3 linked regions of the Schizosaccharomyces pombe genome follow. The protein of the gene in region 2 interacts with the protein of the main gene of each other region in a pairwise test. Each region holds a gene or a part of one and is shown on either strand. Other genes may lie near its edges.

What was found. Proteins that work in one complex are often made in the same cells at the same time.
Region 1: the proteins of cap1 (region 2) and lsb1 interact in a two-hybrid assay, tested with the Schizosaccharomyces pombe proteins (one study listed by BioGRID).
Region 3: the proteins of cap1 (region 2) and tef101 interact in a two-hybrid assay, tested with the Schizosaccharomyces pombe proteins (one study listed by BioGRID).

Annotation. Positions count from the first base shown.
Region 1 is NC_003423.3:719,535-724,346, forward strand, and holds lsb1 (SH3 domain-containing protein), read right to left. Parts: upstream 2,921-4,812; 5' UTR 2,810-2,920; coding exon 1,919-2,809; 3' UTR 1,473-1,918; downstream 1-1,472. Other genes in the region: meiosis inducing protein Mei3, read left to right, coding at 272-718; copper chaperone Sco1, read left to right, coding at 4,225-4,812.
Region 2 is NC_003421.2:423,059-429,896, reverse strand, and holds cap1 (adenylyl cyclase-associated protein Cap1), read left to right. Parts: upstream 1-3,534; 5' UTR 3,535-3,620; coding exon 3,621-3,679; intron 3,680-3,753; coding exon 3,754-5,350; 3' UTR 5,351-6,145; downstream 6,146-6,838. UniProt on the Schizosaccharomyces pombe protein: The N-terminal domain binds to adenylyl cyclase, thereby enabling adenylyl cyclase to be activated by upstream regulatory signals, such as Ras. The C-terminal domain is required for normal cellular morphology and growth control.
Region 3 is NC_003421.2:266,483-271,516, forward strand, and holds tef101 (translation elongation factor EF-1 alpha Ef1a-a), read right to left. Parts: upstream 3,035-5,034; 5' UTR 2,998-3,034; coding exon 1,615-2,997; 3' UTR 1,473-1,614; downstream 1-1,472. Other genes in the region: protein efr3, read left to right, coding at 1-1,399; ugp1 (UTP-glucose-1-phosphate uridylyltransferase), read left to right, coding at 4,484-5,034. UniProt on the Schizosaccharomyces pombe protein: This protein promotes the GTP-dependent binding of aminoacyl-tRNA to the A-site of ribosomes during protein biosynthesis.

The DNA.
Region 1 (4,812 bases), on a different chromosome or scaffold from region 2:
ATTTTCACTTTCTGTACTGTGATTGTATACAAAAAAATAATCTTTTATTTGTTTAATAGTTTTTTTTGTTTCATTTGCAAATATCAAATACTTTACACGAAATTGAAAAACCTCCGTGAGCCATGGGTTTGAAAGAAATGTGCTGCGTTAGTATAAGTATGAGTGCTTAGTCGCTCATTTCTGCATCCATTTTCTTATCCTCTTATTCTTTCTATTATCTAATTCACATCAAACTATATTCTACTTTTACAATCACTTTCTACTTCTAACAATGAGCTCTCAAAACACCTCCAACAGCCGTCACCCAGCAAGCAGCGCTTCTGCTTTACCAAATCGCACCAATACGGCAAGACGCTCAACTTCTCCCAGAACTAGTACTGGAAGCTCCAGTACTAACACTAACACCAAAACTGTTGACCATGCCGGTACCACTTTCATCAGCTCTACAAGCAAACGCGGCCGTTCTACCAAAGCTGGATCGGTACATAGCGTTCCCATGAAACGCACTAAACGTGTTCGCCGAACCCCTGCACAACGCATTGAACATGAAAATAAAGAAAATATTCAGACTGAAAAGGTTTATAGGATTAAGCCTGTCCAAAGAGTTCTTTCTCCCTCAGACCTCACTAACGAACTAACCATCCTGGACCTATTTCATGTTCCTCGACCTAACGAGACTTTTGACATCACCGACCGTGTAAACAACACCTCTCGCTAAGCAACTGCTTAAATTAGCTTAATTTTCTTCGATCCTGAATGACTAATGCCGAAGGGGAATATGAACACCACATAAAAATTGAAAGAAATTCTCTTTCGAGCATTAATTTTTATTAATTAAACCGCTGTTATAGGAAATTTTCATCCTAACTATACAGCTATTATATTTGAACTTGCATACTTATTTTCATGTTTTCCATTTTTACAACAAAAAAGAAAAAAAATTAAAACAAATTTAGTCCTTTCATTCATTCCCCAGTGCTTTCAGACGCTTTTTATAACAATTCTCCCTTGAGTTTCATTTCTGTTCATAGTCTCATTATTCTTTATTGTGTGTTGACTTCTTTTATTTTTAAACAAAGGTTCATTTTTATTGTCGTTCTCTTTTTTTTTTGAAATTCTGCTACTTTCTCTTGGAATCCCCATCAACGTGTTACCGAATTTGATTCATCATTATTCATACATCTTCCATTTTTGTTGGACATTCGCTGTCTCCAGTTTTTACTTTATCTTCCCATTTTAATAATGTGAGTCTTTACATTCATGGGATTTCCACGTCGATTCTTTTTTATTGCTTAATGGAAACGATTCTGACCGGACATCGTAATTAAATCTCTAACAAAGGCTACCTAATTTATACTTCCTCATCCGTTTACTATTTTTTGCTTTAATATACGTTAAGCAATAGAACAATTTACCATAGCATATTAACAAATCTAATACACTGTCATTCGTTCCCTATTAATCATATTTTTGCTTTGTAATTTATTTTTTTTATTATGGAATTAAAATATAAACGGTATGAAAGTCGTAAAAAGAAAAACACTAAAAATAAACAAAAGTCAAGAGACATGCGTATTTAATAGTACGCATCGATAATCATAAAGAATATGCAACAATGTTTGGATATCGAATTCATACACATAAATGAGGTGTCTCAATCTATGAAGAAGCAGCTATGCCGCGGTGTTGCTTTATAAGCATAAAGCATAGTCGAGAAAAAGACAAAAGACCAAAGGAGTAAACATGAACAAGGGAAATGCATTCGCGATATACGGAAATTTCTACTTGGAAATTTCAAAATAAAAAACAACTGCGCACCAACGATAACAAACACAGGTGCTAGTTCAACCACACAGAAAGTTTTACTTATATAAAGGAAGAAAAAAAGCATAGAAAAAGGAAAGAAACGAACTCGCATTTAAAAAATGGAATTGACGAGATCAGCGCCAGCAGTTGCACCAGCACCGAATACAAATGCAGAACCCAAACCACTACCAATCTTCTTGAATGTTGATGAGTGCTTGTGCTCGGTCGGTTGTGCAACCACGATGGGTTGTTGAGGCGCCTGAGGATAGGCTTGGACAGGTGGATATGGTGCTTGCTGAGGTGGATATGCTGTTTGCTGATACTGCATGGGAGGTGCCGAAGAAGATGCTGCTGGGGGATAGTTTTGCTGTGGTGGAGGAGGAGGAGGTTGAGCTTTAACGGCAGAATCTTCCAACAAACGCACATAGTTAGAAGGGAAGATTCCTTCCTTTCCATTCAATTCACCACGCCACCAATCGTTATTGACATGCTCAAGTACAATGATAACTTCGCCAGCATGGAAACCTAAATCACCAGCATCAGGGCCAGGAAAGTCGTACATCGCCAAAACCCGCTCAACGTTCTTATGGGCAGTATTGGGTCCAGGATAGCTGGGAGGAGGGGGAAGCTTCTCGGTAGATGAATTGACACTTGAAGCCTCGCTTTGCTTCTGTGGGGCAGGCACTCCAGGCAGCTTACGAGGTTCCTCGGGTGTCCTCTTTTCTCCAGAGTTTTGAGACAAAGACATTGCTGCTACGGCAGACGCTACCGATCCTGCTCTTTTTTCCACAGAGCTCTTCCGCTTGGGCAAGGGAAGGGGTACTGAGGACTCAACAGGTTGAGCAGCTGGAGCAGTTACAGGACTAGCGGGACCGTCCTGTAAATGGATATTTGCGTGAACCCAATCCAAAGCACTCCTTTCAACTACGCCCTCATCAACAAGGAATTGGAAGTCGTTGTAGATTCCACGAATAACATGATTCAGGTAGTTTTTATGATCCATATTTCTATGGAAATTTATTACTTAACTCTTTAAGATCTCAAATAAAAATTATTTCAGTTAATTCTTATCAATCTTTAAAAGTTTTGCTGATTAGTGGTAATGGCGGAAGGTAGGTTTACAACTACCGCTTGGTGTGTATACCTGGTAGGTATATATATGGAAAAAACATACGAAGATCGTGGCGCCAAAATTCCAATGCTTTCCACCGGGGCTGAAAAACAATGCAATTTTTTTTAAAAAAATCCTTTTATATAGTAAAATGAGAACTTGTGTGCCATAAGTTTTCGTTAGAATTTTTCAAAAAATTGAATTATGTGAGCAAGTTATTAAGTGGAATTATTTTTAACTTAGAACATTTGAACTGTCAAGTTCAATGTATCAGGAAAAAATATTGAAAATTTGAGAAAGAATTTTTTCCTAGGTATGGCTACAAAATATCGAACAATTTGATGAAATAGGAATTTCTAACCATTTGTTATGTCTCAATTAAATTTCGCCGTATGTAGAGCCTTTGCTTTCAGATATTCGTAAAAACATACAAAAAAGCATGGCACTAGCTGTGTTTTCGTATAAATAAAAAAGGTCCTTAGTATAGTTATCCAGACGATATTTTTCAATTTCAAATCTCACTTCAGGTACCTGAAAACATCCCTAAGTAGAAGTAATATTTTTGTATCCTGACTTGAAATCTGGGCTTTTAAAAAAATGATTTTGGTGCTTTAGAATGCTGTGTGAATTGAATTTTCAATCTCTCAACAAATGCGTCTCAGCGCAGTATAATTGGTTTCCAACGGAAATTTATTATTTGTCAAAAATAAAAATAAATCTCACAAGTTGTGTATATTTGACAATTCCAGCAAAGCCGCATAGACGGTATGCATGGTCTTTATTCTTCCAAAAAAAAATATTCAATAATCACATACTATAATATAGCGATTTGAACAAGCTAAGTAACCGTTTGAGTAATGATTCTTTCATTTATAAGTCATTCTGATCCTTGACGAAATTCATATTTTGTGTCTATTTTCATTCGTATTAAAACTTAGATTACATTGAAATTACAGCATTGGAGAAGCGGCTATATGCATATGAACTCTTTAAAGGATTAGCGATAAAATTACGTTTTTTTTGAACGCTAAAATGTTTGCAGTAATTTTGGTGAAATTCTATTTTCAACGTCTTCATTACCACCCAAATACCCATACTGACGTGAAATTGGACTAACTTGGAGAGGCTTATTCTTTGTGAGAAATTGTTTTCTCCGTTTTGTATTTGAAGAGACAGAAAAGATTTTAAATTTTTTTAAAACTTGCTAGTCTTGGTTATACTTTTGTTACTGTTTTAACTTCAGTTTTTTGTCTTGTCCAAATATTACGATTTTTGAATCGATTGTTGGCAATCACTCAAATCAAGTAATGTTTCGAAGGGGTTTAGTTTTCTCTAGGCATTGTCATTACAGCTTGATTCGTCCTCGATTTCCTTTGAATCGTACGTGCCTAGCGCGTTTTGCCGACGGTCGCAAAAATCTAGCTACTGACAATCGAACGCAGACATACCAATCATGGCGTGGAATGATTTCTATAAGAGCATTGCTTCTTGCAGCTGCAACAAGCGTTGGCCTTTATGCTTATTTCCAACATGAAAAGAAAAAAGTGTTGGAGAGGCAAAACGACAAGGTTTTGGCTACCATAGGTCGTCCCCAATTAGGAGGTGCTTTTTCTTTAATTGATCATCATGGAAATCGAGTTACTGATAACGATTTCAAGGGAAAATTTTCCTTAATCTACTTTGGTTTCACCAGATGCCCCGACATTTGCCCCGACGAGCTCGACAAAATGTCAGCAGCTATTGATATTGTAAACAATGTTGTTGGAGACGTGGTTTATCCTATTTTCATAACCTGTGATCCAGCCCGTGATCCTCCGCAAGAAATGGCTGAATACCTTGAAGATTTCAATCCTAAAATCGTTGGTCTCACAGGATCCTATGAAGAAATAAAAGAT
Region 2 (6,838 bases):
TGCCCCCTAGATATTCAGCTACACTCTCTTCATGAATGTTTGGAAGTGAGGCTGGCGCCGCAATTAAACTAACTACAATTTCTTTCTTCATAGATTAGGATAGTAAAAGACTTGGAACTATATTTATATATTAAATATTTATTATTTATTAATTTTTGAAAGGATAATGTGTGAGCAACATAGTTGTTTTCGAATAGCAGGAATTTCAAATTACCCATATAGAAGACATCCAGTATTGAAAAAGGTAGAAACAAAAAATGAGTTGGAAATCAATTAATACATCAACTATGGTTAAGTATTTGGTTTAACGGACGCTGTAAAATTTTGCCTTTCAGAGGATATATTTCAACTAGTAGGGGAAAAAAGAAGTTCCTTGCTTCAGTAAATTTATAAAATCCACTGGAGCTTTTTTACAAACAAATTTTCATTATCTACAATTGAAACTGCAATTTGGAAAGATTGCACGTAAAAAAAAAAAGGAAAGAACATGCAAGAGTTTCAATTGTAACACCCTTCTGCAATAATCGGCCAATGTTGTCGATAAGATATAAAGGCTTTAAACAACCAACCACTGTATGTTACAACCTTGTGCATTTTGTTTCTTATCTTAATAACCTTCCAGATGTAAACATTCGCATTCATCCACCTAAATTGAATCCTAACGCTAACTAATTTATTAATATCCCCAGGCAAAAAAAGTGGATCATTAACAAGAATAGGAAACATCAGGAAAAGCTGATAATATGATCTAAAATCAGTTTGCTCAAATATTTGATCCAAATCATAAATGCAATATGAAAGAGCACGGCGAGTTTTTTTATTGCAATAGTTAAATGTAACAACCAGTAAGCAAACTCTTTTTTTTGAATAATAAAACCATTATTGTAAACTTCATAAATCGCTTTCATAATGTATGTTAACCAACATCGCGAATCATTTCAAGCGATGCATTGGTTTGACAATTTATAGTAATTGGAAGAATGAGTTAAGCATATATTCCATAAACTTATAGTGAAAGAGGATGATTAAAGAAAGTTGGTGCTAATTTTTTAAAAAACGCCGCAGCTTCTCTGCATTGGTGATTTTGGTAAAGAGGTTTTCCAACTGTAGCGACAACTACATTAATAAAGCAATTAGACTTCGCTTTCGGCCTCCGTTTCTTCCAAGGGAATGTCATTATTATCGTTGGCACCTCCAATCGCATTTGCTATACCTCCTAGTCGGGTAAGTAAAAAATCATTCATACAGTTGGTTGAATACACATACCTAGGAAAGAAGCTATACCATTCCTGATAAATTTGGGCATCCTTTTGAGAGCACCTGGACATTCTGATACGGTTAGAATAAATTACAGGAATATTGAACAAACCCATTTCGTAAAAGAAAAGAAAATTGCCTATAACAAAGAGTGAAGTGGCTTCAATTTCGTAGCCTGTCCCGTCGATATGTTTATCAAATGAATGCATCAAACCTTTCTGTACAATAACGACACAACTTTGTACACCCAGCATTTGAAACAAACCAAAAAGCATATGCTTGAGTGTCCAAAATGGAAGACGAACTGCGTGTTAGCGGTCAGTAATGGTAACTCCATAACTTCACATACCATATAGTAAAAATAAAAGTAAAGCAGCTGAAATACTGCATGTAGAACAGATGAGAGCCTTGTATAAGTTCAGGTTACCGAATTTGGCGCGAAGAAAAAGTGTATAGCAAATGACTACCCATAATAGCCAAATTATTACTACCCATTTTTCCCTTGAGTTGTACAAGCCGACCGCAGTTACCTTTACACATTGTGCCAAGAAATTTACAGTTACTTTAACTGCCTTGGCCCTTTTCATAGAAGTCTAATGAGTTAGTGACTGAAGGTAAGATTAACCCCATTGTCTCACTTACAAGTCAAGAATATTAAAGCCAAAGTGCAAACAAGACACCAAAATCCAAATAACGTCCATTCCGCTGCACCATAATTTTTAAAGAAAGCGTCTTTATACTTTAGATAACAAACTGCTAGAGCATTGAGTAGAACGATTGGAGTGAATGATATTAGTAGTTTAATCAAAAAAGGGGAAGAATCATCTGTCGTCCCGGAAGAATGGTTTTCTCTATGTATGTTAGGAGGATTGCTTACACGTGCGTAATCTGTTTAAATTAATATGATTGAAATACTTTAGTAAAGAAAGTGCATGTATCAAAGTGTGTGCATGCATGGCCGACTATAAACAATGATCACATCCAAGTTATTTTACAGCAATGGCAAGTTTCAACTTTCAATTGAGTAATTCCTTTCTTATTATTTACAATTCTTACCTGAATATGGAGGTAATGCGCCCTCTTCCTCTGAATTATATTCTGGAAGCAGGCCTTTTTCCAAATCGATTTCATGATCTGTCTTCAATTCATCTTCTTCATCTAGAGGACTTTTCAAGGAAGTGTAATTATTCTTCATTTCATCAAGATAATTCTTTATTTAATAAAACACATGCGCGAATTAATTGCTGTGATTGCGACAAACGAAACAGCGAAATCAAGAATATTCACTCTGGAGTTCAGTTCCCGCCGCTCAACATAAATAAATGAGCAATACTCGTTTCAAAGCAAACTGTTTTTTCAATAATAGCAAGTGAAAAGTAGAATTCCAAAACTCATTTTCAAAATGCAATTGCTTCTGACACATTTATTTTGTCACTGCCCTTTTTATTCACCCCAACTTAGCTTTCCTTAAACGTTATAGGGTTCAAGACATTAACGCAGTACAGCAAAATTACAAATGCGTGTGTACCGCCTTATTTGCCAGCAGCCATTTAAATTAATAAATAAAAGTATGATTAATGTAAAATGACTTAGTAAAATCAATTTACTCCTAAATTATAAATCAACATAATTTTCAACGTTGTTTTGCTAGGTCTTATTTGCCAATACTGTACAGGCAATGTTATTATAGTCGTTTAAATAACTGCATTCCTTCACTTTCATCGTAAACAAATTCTTTTTAAAAAATTGAGGCATTAACATTTCAACAATGAGACTATACTTAGAGTAAGCATAGGGATATGTAGGAAAAGGATTGAACTTCGTCAAAAGTTTAGCGACTGTAAACAGCACGTCAAAAATTAAAAGCTCAGCAACGGCATCGCTGCTTCTCTTTTCCAATCTTTTAACTCAGAAAGCGTATATAGTTTCGATTGCACAACAGACGAAGCTGCCAGATTAAAAACCTTACCTCGATAATCTCTGGACTCATCTCAGCAGAGGTTCGGTGCATTTAATAATTACATTTTTTTTGGCTAAAGTAAGGTGCAGCGCGAATATGGAATTATTTTTTTATGTTAAGTATTTATGTTTGTTCACAGCCAAGACACGATCATTGCCAGTAGCTCTTCTAGCTTCAAAAGAGGGAAATAGTTATCGTTTTTTCAATTTTTTATATAATAAAAACGCTAGTTTATACTACAGCTGAAAAGGTTAAGTCGCTTTTTTCGATACCGAGTTTCATATTGCTTAAGCCGGCTCTATGTTCCTTCGTCCTCCATCCACCACCACACTTACTATATTTGTTGCGTTGCATTATAAAAATCACTTAACCTCCGCTAAACACATTTTCTTTTCGTCTAACCATGTCGGATATGATCAATATACGTGAAACAGGCTACAATTTTACCACGATTCTCAAACGGTATGTAATTGCATTAAACTGCTAAAAGAGTAATAGTCTTTAATTGATTATGCATCTAACATTTACTCATATAGACTGGAAGCGGCAACTTCTCGTTTGGAGGATCTTGTGGAAAGTGGTCATAAGCCTCTTCCCAACATGCATCGTCCTTCTAGAGATTCAAACAGTCAAACCCACAACATATCCTTCAACATTGGTACTCCAACGGCCCCAACCGTGTCGACTGGTAGTCCTGCTGTCGCATCATTACATGATCAAGTTGCGGCTGCTATCAGTCCTCGGAACAGAAGTCTTACATCCACCTCTGCCGTTGAAGCGGTTCCTGCTTCCATTTCCGCCTACGATGAATTTTGTTCCAAGTATTTATCTAAATACATGGAATTGAGTAAAAAAATTGGTGGTTTGATTGCCGAACAAAGTGAACACGTCGAGAAGGCTTTTAACCTTTTACGTCAGGTTTTGAGCGTCGCTTTGAAAGCCCAGAAACCCGACATGGATTCCCCGGAACTCTTGGAATTCCTCAAGCCTATCCAATCTGAACTGCTCACTATTACCAATATTCGAGATGAACACCGCACCGCCCCCGAGTTCAATCAACTTTCTACCGTCATGAGTGGAATTAGTATTTTGGGCTGGGTCACAGTTGAGCCCACTCCATTATCCTTTATGTCTGAAATGAAAGATTCGTCCCAATTCTACGCCAACCGTGTAATGAAAGAGTTTAAAGGTAAAGATGACTTGCAAATCGAATGGGTTCGTTCTTACCTTACTCTGTTGACTGAATTGATTACATACGTCAAGACCCACTTCAAAACCGGTCTCACCTGGTCTACTAAACAGGATGCAGTACCCTTGAAAACGGCTTTGGCAAACTTGTCTGCTTCGAAAACTCAGGCACCATCTTCTGGCGATTCTGCAAACGGCGGCTTGCCTCCACCACCACCACCACCTCCTCCATCTAATGATTTTTGGAAGGATAGCAACGAGCCCGCACCTGCTGATAATAAAGGTGATATGGGAGCGGTGTTTGCCGAAATTAATAAAGGCGAGGGAATTACATCCGGACTTCGTAAGGTGGATAAGAGTGAAATGACCCACAAAAATCCGAATTTACGTAAAACGGGACCCACTCCTGGTCCTAAGCCTAAAATCAAAAGCTCTGCTCCTTCTAAGCCAGCGGAAACTGCTCCCGTTAAACCACCTCGCATTGAGTTGGAAAATACTAAGTGGTTTGTTGAAAACCAAGTCGACAATCACAGTATAGTCTTGGATTCTGTGGAGCTCAACCACTCAGTGCAAATTTTCGGTTGCTCCAATTGCACAATTATAATTAAAGGAAAGTTAAACACCGTTTCCATGAGCAACTGTAAACGTACTAGCGTTGTAGTAGATACTTTAGTGGCCGCTTTTGATATTGCTAAGTGTTCCAATTTTGGCTGCCAAGTTATGAATCACGTTCCAATGATTGTTATCGACCAATGCGATGGAGGTTCCATCTATTTGAGCAAATCTTCGTTGTCGTCCGAAGTTGTCACTAGTAAATCAACAAGCTTGAACATCAACGTCCCCAACGAAGAGGGAGATTATGCTGAACGTGCTGTTCCCGAGCAGATCAAGCACAAGGTGAATGAAAAGGGAGAGCTTGTCTCTGAGATTGTACGTCACGAATAAGTTTTTCTCAGAGAGCTTTTTCAAGCTATATTCCTAACGGTTTCATAGTAAAGATTTAAGTTGATTTGTCTAGAGCTTTTTATTCATCTTCATCTTTTTCTTTTACTGCTACTAACGACACACTTTGCTCGATGTTTTGTAAAATTGATCAATCAAATCTTCGGCTTATTTCAGAGATACAAATATTTGTTTTCCCTTCGCTTTCGACTTTCCGATGCGATTTACCTTTTGCCCAAATATCCCTTGGACTCAATGTGTACTTCCCCACATACATCTTTATATTGAATGGGATCGGATAATGCGCGGGAAAAGTTGTTGTCCGTACCACGAATTGCTACGTTGACTTTATGATATATGCGTGCATGCATACATACGAATAGTGGTTATTTTACGAGTTAAACGATATAGAAGCTTAAATTTAGTGATTGTTTGTGTGCAAATAGAATTTATGGATGACAATGATAAGGCTGTTGTATATGACGCTTCCTCATTTCTTTTTCCCTGTTGATTTTAACTCGAAAGGATTTTAAGTGTCTTCCGTTCGCCAATTGAATTCATCATCATCTTCTTTTTGTTTTTGTTTTTCAGTCTAAACAAATCCTCTAGCTAAGGTATCATTTTCTCGATTGCTGTTTTGCTCATGTTATGTTTTTATGAAAAAAAGCCATGCTGTTCAATAAAAGAGGAAAGGAAGATTTTGGAAGTTTTATAGTTGAATGAGTTCATCTATAAATATATACATATATACATATATATAATATACAAAATATTTTTTCTTTGAGGCTTGAACTATAACTTTACAACTGTCACTTTCATTCTTACATTGTACAGCTGCCTGTATAATCTGTTTCCATTGTAGAGTTGAAATAGTACAGTAGCTTTTCTTTCTGCCAAATATTTACAGTAGTGTAGCAAGAAGCCACTATACGAGTTTTAGGAATTTATTCCGCATTGCTTTGCACTGTCCTGCGGTTTGCTATTTTAGCCAGTCGTCGTTCTTGACAAATCGGCGTTCGATCTTTAATGCCCGTTGAGATCGATTGCGTAATGCTACAACCTTATATTGAGTGTAAGCACTACCCCACAATTCGTATATATACTGTACCAACTCACTGTGTGATTCTCAACTTCAACATATCTTCCAAATAGTCAACGTATAATCAACAAAGCTCGGGACCTTGCCTAAAAGTATCTAAAACGACTTCCAAAAGCGTACCTCGAACTTGTTAAGTTTAAGGTAAGTAAAAGTGAGTATGCAAAACGATCAAGTTACATCCCAATTTGCCAGAAAAAATATTTTAAAAATGAATAAACCGACGTAAATACTACTCTTGAGACCTTTTTATACACACGAAAGTCGATATTTTTTTTGGAAAAAAGTCTTGACATAAACAGCTACGCCAGTCTTTATGTACCGTACCCGTTTCTCCGAGGTCACTAGGTACAGGACTTTCTGAAGGAATATTTTATAAGAGATGCTATACGCAT
Region 3 (5,034 bases), 160 kb from region 2:
GCCATACATGATTTACTCCATTCTTAACTCGAAAAACTCAATTTCTGGCTTATCCGTTATTGACGTGTTACGTGATTTGGGGTCGCATCTTATCAACGCTGTCAATTCATTCGATGCTGATGACCAAACTTGGTATAATATGTGTGAATCTCCATCGGAAAAGCTCCCTAGGCGCCTTTATTTACTTTTGGTTTGTATCACCTGTTTAACTAAGCATCAATATTACGATGAAGAATTTGCTGATGTATGGCGAGAAATCGACACTCTTGCTAATTCTGAAACTTCTTCTGCTATACAAATGGTAGCTTTAACAGCTTTTCATAAGCTGCAAAATGAAAAGCTAAATACAAAAAAAGAATCCAGTGCTCCTCTCTCTTTAGTTACCGACTTTTTGTTGCATAGCTGGCCCAAATCCGCTGAACGTCTTCACACTTCCCAGTCACCTTTTGTACGAATAAAAACTGCTGAGGTGTTCTACGAATTTTTGTGCTTTCTCCGTCCATCTTTAATAAATTTCGATACTATTTTACGGAAAAGTGCAATCACATCATTTTCTGTATTATGGGATTTTATATATGAAACCAGTTGGCATATTGAACGTTGGCTCAAGGTGTTTTCGGTGCAGTCTGAATTTTATATTCTAAAACTCATCATCCAAAGGCTTTACCAGCTTTATGGTCCAGTTTCTGTAACAGCGGTATTACCTGCTATGTATCGCGGACTACGACCCTTTGAAAATGATCCTCCTCGCTGTATTGCCGAGGCGGTTACTGCTTATTATATCATCTATATTGGAGAGAATTTGAAGATCACAACTCTTCAGTCAAGTGGACGAAAGTGGCTTGATTCATTATCTAGCTCATTACCTTCGAGTCTCTTGAACAGAGGTTCTTCTACGCATTCTTGGGAGAAACTAACAAATGCCTCTACCGAGGAAGTCATGTTGCCTTTGGACATGGTTGTAAATGAATTATTGGAGAAAAGCCCGAAAGTATTCCCAGAGGACTCTAGACTACTATTTGCTGAGCAATCGCGACACCCCAAGTACACCGATATTATTCAAAAATTAAAGAAACCGTCTCGCGAAAAGTCTTTTACTTCTTCTTCAGAATATTCACTTCCATTTATATCACCGGCTTCGGATTACCAACAAAATCCTTTACTTCATGCTACCAAGTCGCTCGTTTCTATTCACCAGCAATCACAACGTGGAGAAATGGTTAGCACATTGAAACAGGCTCTATCAAGGCCACACACTGCTAGTACTGTCGTACGTTCTCCGTCGGAAATAAATCTTACAAGACAAACGAGCAACCGTGTACCTCTGCTTGATATGTTGAATCTTAATCGTGCTATGTCTCCGACACCTATTCAAAGTCCTCCATATGTACGCACTTAGTTCTACATATACATATTTTGCACTTAAAAAATGAAAAAAAGAATTATCGTTGCAAATCTATATTTAACCATGCAATTTAAATTTCAATTCCTAAGTTATAAGTAAATTTAATTACTGAGTAGTATACCAAATTATATTAATCAACAATATAACATTCACTAGCCTATCCTGATTACAACAACTCAAGATCTACTTAAATCCGAAGTAAAAAATGTTTACTTCTTGGCGCCAGCCTTAACAGCGGCCTTAGTGACCTTAGCGGCACCAGGGGCAACCTTCTCAACGGCCTTGATGACACCGACAGCGACGGTTTGACGCATGTCACGGACAGCGAAACGACCAAGAGGAGCGTAGTCAGTGAAAGCTTCAACACACATAGGCTTGGAAGGAACCATCTTAGCAATGCAAGCATCACCAGACTTGACAAACTTGGGGGACTCCTCAATCTTCTTACCGGAACGACGGTCAATCTTCTCAATGAGCTCAGCGAACTTGCAAGCAATGTGAGCAGTGTGGCAATCCAAAACAGGAGAGTAACCAGCAGAGATTTGACCGGGGTGGTTAAGAATGATGACTTGAGCGGTGAAGCTAGCACAACCCATGGGAGGATCGTTCTTGGAGTCACCACAGACGTTACCACGGCGAATATCCTTGACGGAAACGTTCTTAACGTTGAAACCAACGTTGTCACCGGGAAGACCAGCGTCGAGAGACTCGTGGTGCATCTCAACAGACTTGACTTCGGTAGTGACACCAGCGGGAGCGAAGGTGACAATCATACCGGGCTTGATAACACCAGTCTCAACACGACCGACGGGAACTGTACCAATACCACCGATCTTGTAAACATCTTGAAGGGGGAGACGAAGAGGCTTGTCAGTGGGACGTGCAGGGGGCTCAATGGAGTCAATAGCCTCCAAAAGAGTCTTACCCTTGACGACACCAGCCTTGGTCTCCTTTTGCCAGCCTTGGTACCAGGGCATGTTGGTGGTGGGCTCAATCATGTTATCACCTTGGAAACCGGAGACAGGGACGAAAGGAACGGTCTTGGGGTTGAAACCGACCTTCTTGATGAAGTTGGAGGTCTCCTTAACGATTTCCTCGAAACGAGCTTGGGACCAGCCAGTGGTGTCCATCTTGTTGACGGCAACAATAAGTTGCTTGACACCCAAGGTGTAAGCAAGCAAAGCGTGCTCACGGGTTTGACCATCCTTGGAGATACCAGCCTCGAACTCACCAGTACCACCACCAATAATAAGGACAGCACAGTCAGCTTGAGAAGTACCGGTAATCATGTTCTTGATGAAATCACGGTGACCGGGGGCATCAATGACAGTAACATTGTACTTGGGAGTCTCGAACTTCCAAAGGGCAATGTCGATAGTGATACCACGTTCACGCTCGGCCTTGAGCTTGTCCAAAACCCAGGCGTACTTGAAGGAACCCTTACCCAACTCGGTGGCTTCCTTCTCGAATTTTTCAATGGTACGCTTGTCAATACCACCGCACTTGTAAATCAGGTGACCAGTGGTGGTAGACTTACCAGAATCGACGTGACCGATAACAACGACGTTAATATGTCCCTTTTCCTTGCCCATTTTTTACAATTAAATTTTTTGGCGTGTGGTGAATGACAAAGGCGAAGCATCCTTCTAGTACTACTAAGTGATTTGTGACTGCTCTCCACAAGAAAATATGTGACTACTTTTAGATGAAATCTGGTTACCGAGCTGCAGAAGACTACGGCAAATAGCTGTTAAAGTAGTTTATTGGTATGAATCTTATAGTTTATGTGGAAAAGGTGAGAAAAGCCTATGTATATTTAAAAGGACGTAAAGTCATATGTAAATAATTATTGAAGACTCTAAGGAGTTTATTCCATCATAAGCAAAGCGAGTTATAAAAAACTAAATACTATCCTATAACAACTGCATAGCAGTGTGACAAAATGTGATTAGCAATCGTTAAGCTAATATAAGAAAGTCTGCATTTTAATAATGAACTACGTCGGCCTGTGTTAAATAAATATAGCGCAATAGAACGTAGATTCATTTTTATTAACTATAAACAATAGACCTAAAAGAATGTTGAACAATAGGTAATTACAAGTGAAACACATAGAAAGGGCTTACTCGAAACAATTAATGAAGTAATAAATGACCACAATAATTCAAATCCTCTGTTAGTGTTTTTTAGAAATAGCTGATTTTCTTTATAACTCTATGTGATAGACATTTCACTATACTTGAATTGATTACCTAGCTAGTCATTGAACTAGCTATACTGAAATTTAGGCGAACAAACAGCTTTTTATCAAATTTTCAATTGCGAACGTTTTAATCTGATAATAAAAATGCATGTCAAAAAGTTGTGCAGTATGAGGAATTTTTTTGACTCTGATGGTTGTCGATAATTCCAGCAGAATCATTTAAGCAAAGTCTACTTCTTATAACAATAGAAGTATTGATATGCAAACATAGCATTGTAATCATAAGCTCTATATCTTCTAGTAACTTAAACGTTGCGAGTAATTTCTTAAGTACCATAGTTTGGACTTGTTTATTTCAGCCCAAGCAAACGATTTTCTGTTTATCTGCTTTGTTTTGAATTTAAGTTGAATAAGTTGCATCTTTACCAATCTACTTAATAAAACAAAAGACGTAAAACATAGATATAAAGTGTCTCAGTTTGTTATTTAAGGTATATTGCCCTTATTTCGAAACCATACAGAATGATTTGTCACTGTATGCAAATTAATACAGAGAAGTTTTATTAAATTCACTTATAGAATAAAAAACAAATTGTATCTAATAGTTTTGAGTCTTTTTGTCGAGAACTGACTGTAATAAGACTTAGTGATAGATATACACAATAAAAGAAACTTGGACATTTTTGACACAAAATAACTTGTCGTAATTATCTTTCTAATCCATAGCAGAAAAGAATCCGCCAGTATCTGAACAAGGAGGATATCAAGTGAAAAAGATCACGTTGGAACATCGGAGTGTATATCGTTAAAACTAGTGGTTCATTTCATCCTACCACTCTCACCCCAAAAAGTGGGAGAATCGACAAAACTCCAAAATGTTGCATCGTCGAATTCATTTTAAATCACAGTCCACTTTGGACTTTGACAGTGTTGCAGTTAGCATATCTGCCAGTACGATGAAAAACGAATTAGATAAACTTGTACTGAATTCCAGAGTTTCGGATAAAAAAACGTTTGGCATACAAATGGACAACTTCTTTGCTTTGTATAGAAGATATTTATTACACACAGTTAAAGGTTATGAATGTGATTGGGATTCTATCCGGCCTCTGGGACCCGAAGACATGATAGATTACGGTGATTTACCGTTATGCAAAAATGCTGGAAAGTACTTAAATCGGCTTGCAGTTGTTAAATTAAATGGAGGTATGGGAAATGCGTTGGGTGTGAATTATCCTAAAGCCATGATTGAGGTTCGTGACAATCAAAGTTTCCTCGACCTTAGCATTCGCCAAATCGAATATCTTAACAGACGGTACGATGTGTCCGTGCCTTTCATTTTAATGAACTCTTACGATACAAATGATGAAACCTGTAAAGTTCTTCGAAAATATGCAGGCTGCAAGATTGATATTTCTACTTTCGA